Saccharomyces cerevisiae S288C: one gene and its partner. The protein of the gene in region 2 purifies or fractionates together with the protein of the main gene of each other region. This does not show direct contact. Each region holds a gene or a part of one and is shown on either strand. Other genes may lie near its edges.

Evidence for each region.
Region 1: the proteins of JHD2 (region 2) and LSM12 purify together in Saccharomyces cerevisiae (affinity purification with western blotting; 2 studies listed by BioGRID, with this or other methods). This does not show direct contact.

What each region holds. Positions count from the first base shown.
Region 1 is NC_001140.6:350,807-353,819, reverse strand, and holds LSM12 (Lsm12p), read right to left. Parts: upstream 1,065-3,013; coding exon 501-1,064; downstream 1-500. Other genes in the region: iron-sulfur cluster assembly protein CIA2, read right to left, coding at 1-195; mismatch repair ATPase MSH1, read right to left, coding at 1,367-3,013.
Region 2 is NC_001142.9:643,804-648,007, forward strand, and holds JHD2 (histone demethylase), read right to left. Parts: upstream 2,688-4,204; coding exon 501-2,687; downstream 1-500. Other genes in the region: ILM1 (Ilm1p), read right to left, coding at 1-298; DMO1 (Dmo1p), read left to right, coding at 3,323-3,673; ATP2 (F1F0 ATP synthase subunit beta), read left to right, coding at 3,804-4,204. UniProt on the Saccharomyces cerevisiae protein: Histone demethylase that demethylates 'Lys-4' of histone H3, thereby playing a central role in histone code. Demethylates trimethylated H3 'Lys-4'.

The DNA of each region.
Region 1 (3,013 bases), on a different chromosome or scaffold from region 2:
CTTGTCTAAGACCTCTATATCTTGCAATACCTGAGACTTTAAAGAATGGTCTATTTTCAGCAAAAGGCTTCTCCTTTCCAGCGTAGCTTCGTTGCTGAACCCGCCTAACAAAAGGTCCTTGGTACTATCTTCTTTTCTAGTGGGAAGTTGGTTCTCCTCTAAAATGTCGGGATTTTCATTCAAAAACTCAGACATGTGTACTATAAGTGATAACAGGAAATCGTAGAATAATGCAGTAGCAAGATTTTATATTCGACTGGATCTTGAAATACTCGATTTTTTTGCTTGTTAGTCATCACTTATTCGCATTTAAATCTAATTCAATTATTCAAACACCGTACACCCAAGCATTGCGACTGAGAAGAGAGTGGTGGAATATTATAGTTTGATAAATAGAAAAATCTGTAGACTCAAATGGATCTCTTTATAAACAATAGTTGACATTATAGAAGTACGGATAAAATATATAACGTATATTATCGTTTCCGTCATTAATTAATCTATCCACCTTTCCTACCATCGTCTTGTTCTAGCTGCTCCCAGCTTCTTTCCACTATTCTTTGAATTAATGTAATGGATTGGTTACTTCCCTCATGTAGCACTTTGATATCTTCGACCTTGTATGGAGGTTGCACCTTAACGTCATCAAGAATAATGATGTCTTTAGCCACCCACTTAGTATCTCCTATGGTCTTGAAGATTTGATCGAAAATGAACTGACCCTCTGCACTCACACCCTTGCCCCTTAAGAGTTCTTTCTTTTTAGATGCTATTACACTTTCTTTCAAAAGCTTCTCAACTCTTTCCACGTTGACATATGAGGGTTTGATTTGTTGCTTTTTGAATGAGTTAAACGAGGGCTTATCACCAATGACTTCCAAATGCTTGATGAATGTACATTTTATCACCTTGAAGTTTTGTGGAGATTGATTCTTCTTTGTTGTTTGGATAGTAAGAGTGTTGTTGGATGAATTGAACGAATACAATCTTCCTTCAGTAACTACATCCAACACGTTCGTAACTTTTATTCTGAATCCGAGCGTTTGCTCAAGGCTGACACTCATGGACGAAAGATGCAAATTGATTTCTTTAGTTACAAGCTTAGATAACCGCTATTTACAAGCCTGGCTCAGAGTGTTTCCTTACCGTAATAAATATCCACCATTATATTCATGGTATAAGGTTTGATCGTTTTGTTTCCGCTAATATCATTCGCGCGACAAACTACGGAAATTTGCAAACTACCGTTTTTGCCATTTTCTAAGTATCTTCACAGTCGCTTTTGAAAAAAAAGACAGGGAAATTGATTCCACATCTTATTATATTACATGTCAAATTATATACAATTAATAGTTGTATTCAAAAGTTATCCCAATATTTCGCGGGCTTCTTTTAACGCTTCCATTGGAAATCCGGCCAATTCCGCAACTCTAATGGCATCTGATTTCGTGCAGATGCCCGGCTTCAACTTATGGTTGTAACAAAAATTGTTTCCACCTAAATCAGTGATTCCGCTTTGGTAAAACTTGACCTTTTCGCTCATTCCTTTCGAACATTTGTTATCAATGATTTGCTTCAGTTCTTGACCAAAATGTGTAGCAAAAAGCGTTCTGCATTGATTGTTCTCTAACAAATACTTTAAAGTTGCATAAGCGATGCTAATGCCTTCTTTACCACTAGTCCCACGGCCAATCTCATCTAGAATAGCTAAAGACCGTTCCGTAGCTCCTTGCAAGATGAACGATGTTTCTATCATCTCAACCATGAACGTACTCATCTCATTGTACAGATCATCTGCTGAACCAACTCGGCTAAAAAGCTTATCTACAATACCCACACGCGCCTTACTGCATGGAACAAAACATCCAATTTGCGCCAGAATGACTATAATTGCATTCTGTCTTAAGAATGTAGATTTACCACCCATATTCGGTCCGGTAATTACCCATAAATTGTCCTTCGCCAATTCGCAGTTATTGGCCGTGAATGTCTCCAAAGAGCGCGCGGAAAGACCCTCTTCAACCATTAGATGTCTCCCATTCACTACTTCTAGTTTATTGCTCTCATCCACTTTTGGGCAGACTAAATTTCTCTCGTTAGCTAACACAGCAAAGGACGATAAGGTATCAAGATAGCCCAGTGTAGTTGCAACTTGTCTGACCTCGTTACTTCTATCAATAAATTTCCTTTTAAAAAGATCAATAATATTAGCCTCTTCATTCCTAATCTTTAAATTTAATAATTCCAACTCGTGCCCCAAGTCTGTCCAAATTTTGTGACTCAACCATCGTGTTTGGCTTGATTTTTGCAAAATATGGAAGCAACTTCCGTGGTACTCCGTCGATTTACTAATTAACTCATCAATTTTCTTTAAACTAGAGGCTGTTCCTGTCACATGGAGGGCATACTCACCGTTTTGCCTTTCCTTCAAGGTGAAAGTCTTAGCACCTAGGTCGCCAACAAAAAAACCTTTTAATAAAGCATTGTACTCAGTTTTTTTTTGCCAAACGCCCTGATAAGTGTCATGCAATTTCCTAAGTTTGGTATTGAACGAAGGGTTTACGATAAAATCTCTTAATTCAAAAATCTCATCTTTGTTACTTTCTTTCTTGTCTTTTACATCTATGTCAAGCATTCTAGTTACATCTGCATTCTGTTTAGCATCTTGTGACTTTGCTAGCTCTTCCTCATTTAAAAACTTCAAAATATCATCAATCAAATTTTTTTCAAAATTTAAAGACTCAGTCAGCTGTGTGATTTGACTCTTTAATGTAGCTTTCATCAACGACGTGTTATTTAGTAAATATTTTCTTATTTCTCTTGAAACCTCTAGTGAACGTGCCATTTGAATAAGTTCTAATGCCTCGCCCCTTCCGAAACTAAACTTTTGAAGTATACGGGATAGATCATTTACTTTTTTCAACATAGTCCGTAGTGTTTCAGTGATATCACGGTTGTCTTTGAAAAATGCTACAATTTTCTGACGCTTTTTAATTTCTTTCAAATCAAGGGA
Region 2 (4,204 bases):
TCAAAATAAAAAAAATTAGTAATCTAACTGGCACAACAGATTGGAAGTATTTAACATTGTTTTCTAACAGGGGAATTAGATCATGAACACCGTTAAGAGTAAACAGAAGAGCGAAAAGACCCAATTGACCACTATAACGTGACAGTGTTAACTGCGGTAAATTCATCGCTTGCGTTAAGACTATGAAATATGTATTTTGCAAAATAGAATTAACGTTCTTTAAACAAAAGAAGGCGATCGTGAATAAAAATGCTACTCTGAAAAAAGCAATATTGGTGGAGTTCAAGGCTTGAGCCATTTTCTTAGAATTTATTCTTTACTTTTGCTGAATGCGATACTCTATTATGTTGTAAATTGTTACACTACCATTCAATTGTCTCTCTTTAAAGATTGATCGACATTATTTTCTTTACTTTTTTGGTGTTTTCGCGCTAAAAGTGGCGTGCTAAATGCCAAGTATTATTCTAAAAAATCATTACGCCATACACAAATATTGAAGACTATCTATCTAACTTAACACCAACTTGCTTTATTAAAGAGTCAATATCCTTCAAAGACTTAGTGAAATACAATTCATCGTCAATATAAGGTTCTTCACCGTCGCTATTGTTCAAGTTTTGTATTGATTTTAAGTAATCCTGCGTACACAGGATACTCACTTTACTGTCCGTCGTGGATAGTTCATTCCACTGCCTAATACTTAAATGGTTTTTCTTGTGTCTTTTATACGTTCTAATTGAATCATAGTTATTCTTTCGCAATACAAAGGCTATTGAACATATAGTCTTACATTGGGAACAAAATATATCGTATTCCTCATCTTCATCGTTTGGATCAGTATGCACCTCCAAAAGAGTTGTCCGTGGTACAATGGCCTGAATTTTCCGTATGCGTTTTAATTCAGTATTATAAAAGACGATCAATGAAGAGTAACATTGCCTAACAAAAGCATCATTGAACAATAGAGTATCTTTATTGTACTTGTCCAAAACATTGATCATTAAATCAAACATATCAAAAACACATGCTTTCTGAGTTAATTTATAATCCGTAATCGCACCAAATCCATATGGTAGCCAGAAATCTATAGTAAAATTGACAGCTTCATTAAAATTATAACCTGTATTAAAACCAGCATGGTAACATTTAGGAAACGTGATAATATATTCGTTGGGCTTTTGCACAGCTTTGTACACAGGAATACCTGATTTCTTGAAATTTGGATCGTACGGAGATATTAAAGTCACTAGCTGATGCAGTAGGTCTGGTTGTTTGATAAATAAGTCTGGTGACATATCATTTAATAGATCGTTGAATTTCGTACATCCCGATTCGGGAATGCTGTACCAGACCTTAGGGTCACCTTCATGTTGATAGTTAGCACTTAGGGTATACTGATCTTCCATATGCCAACAAAATGTGGAAAATAAGGAGCCTATGTAAATCCAAGGAATAGTCATGCCAGAAATATTTCTTTTAAATAACGGTAATAGCGAATTATGAGCCATAGGCAAGTTAGTTAAATTCATAGGATGATCGCAATATTTGAGGTAGTCTATCAATTCGTCCCCATTTATATTTTTGGGTATAAATTCTCTCGTCGGAAAGCCGGTAATTTGACCTGGCAATTCGTTATGTATGTCAGCACCGTATTTAACTGTCGTTAATGAACTGCGACGATTCTTGGTCACTAAGCTCCAAAACATCTCTTCCAACTCATCTATAGACAGTTTTCGTGCTGGTAATAACCTTGAATTTTGACGTTTACAATATTCTTGAAACTCTGGTAGAGAATAGTCATGCGTGTCCTGAGTGAATCCGTAATATCCGTTTCCGACGATACAAGTGTTACAAATCCAATCGCCAGAGGGAACACGTTCCAAAGGTGGTGATAAACAATATATATGGAATGGTTTGTCACATGAATCACATAAAATTGTTCTTTTTGGATCATTTGTCTTGCGACAAACAATACAAGCATCATCATCGTCCTCCTCAAAATCCGACCCAGAATTCGAATCTGGCCCAAGATCGAAATCGTCCTCGTCATCACTTAATAAGGATTTTGGATACTGGTCAGCATGCAGCGCCGTGTGCACGTTCTCGTTCAGTGAATGAAGAAATATGTAGTATGAGGCAATATATTTCTCAAAAATTTCCTTTAACAAGCCGATTGGTACGTTGAATTTTTTAGAAATGGTCCTCCATAGACTGATGTCGCCTCTTAATTGGGAAATATCTCTAAATTTCAATTTTCGCCTGAATGACTGTGTAGTGTCAGTAAGTGTCCGATTGTCTTTTATTAGTTCAGAGAAAACGTCATAAAAGTACACTTTTTTTTTTAGTATTTCCGATGCATGAGTAGAATCTGAATATTCTACAATCGTATAAGGTTCCCTAAGTATAAGTTTCGATGGATCCTTAACGGATCTTTTAAAATTATTTAACTGTTTCATAAAAAATAGCCTACACCTATTTTTCAGGTCTAGGTTCTCCAGATTTTGAATTCTTGGTTGAAAAGTAAAATTTTCCATATCAATAGAAAGTGGCGGGCAGAACCCGTTTGGTGGTACGACCTTGACCATACCATATCGTACACCAAGCCTTTTAATGTGGGGGTTAGAGAGATAATCGATCGGATTTTTGAATTCTTGTTCCGTTGGATACAGGGCAGGAATTTCCTCCATGATAGTGATACGTTTTTTGTGCAAGATGAGATTAGTTAATATGATCTAGAGGTAAAATTGACTAAGTAGTCAGATCTTATTCTACATTGAGCCTGCGTTGTCAACATGCACATCTCTGTCTCTTGGGATGATAATTTTTCAATGATGATTCCAGGGTTACTTTAACGTTACACAAAAGAAATTAATTAGTGCGGCTGTTTCTGTGAGCGGGGCAGTAAGTCCGAAGCCCTTGATATTAGCCCATACCCTACACATTTTACTCGTTTGCCCTACATCAGATAAAATACTGGCCCTAAGCCCTCCTAATCTCTTCTGGTTACACCTAGGGTAAAATATCTGCCTTTCTTTGCATTCAATGCGTTACTTCTATATCACGAGATGAGCATACGGATCGTGTATAATACTAAAAAGAAAGCTCCTGAAAGAGTTGTGACAAGCAAGACTGTATACTACTCCTTCTACGAAAGTTAGTTCGAGTTCTTGATGGCACTTGGCTATTCTATTTCTTGAACCTTTGAGAAAGAACAGAAGTAAAAGGCTGTGTATTCTGCTACATGAAATACAGTAGTAGTCACAGTACAAAAATACTCTAAACCAGTAATAAAGCCACATATATATGTATTTCCTTTCACGTGATGCGCTGGGATGTTATCATCTTATACGCAATTAGCCGCCCATATGCCACCCGGCGCACCGGGTCGCACACACACCCCCGTGATTCGCGATATATAGCGGCCAATCAACGGCGACCTCCAAGCGCGTGCCGGGTGGGCCCCTCGCCGGCCAAGCAGCGCAAGGATATTCCCATCTTCGAGCTCTTAGATACAACGCTTATAAAGAACGCACTTTTTGCATTAACCTCTTTTTTGTATTACAGAACAAACATTTTAACTTGCCCTTTTTTAAACTTTCTTTATCTCTCCAGGACAGGCCAATTGGATAAATTTTGCAAAGATCAAACAGTAACACAAATTTTAGCAACCTAAACCCCCCTCATAAACGAAGACAAAAGTGCTCCTCCTCAAGTCAAATTTGTCTTTCTTTTCTTTCATTTTTTAGTCTGTTGTTATCCAATTTATACTGAATCTTTGAGAGAAAACAAAAATAAAAAAAAGAATGGTTTTGCCAAGACTATATACTGCTACATCCCGTGCTGCTTTTAAAGCAGCCAAACAATCCGCTCCGCTTCTATCCACTTCGTGGAAAAGATGTATGGCCTCAGCTGCTCAATCTACTCCAATCACCGGTAAAGTTACCGCTGTCATTGGTGCCATTGTTGACGTTCATTTTGAACAATCAGAGTTGCCCGCTATTTTGAACGCTTTAGAAATTAAAACACCTCAAGGTAAGTTGGTTTTGGAAGTTGCTCAACATTTGGGTGAAAACACTGTCAGAACCATTGCTATGGATGGTACCGAAGGTTTGGTCCGTGGTGAAAAGGTTCTTGACACTGGTGGCCCTATCTCCGTCCCAGTTGGGAGAGAAACTTTAGGGAGAATCATCAACGTTATCGGTGA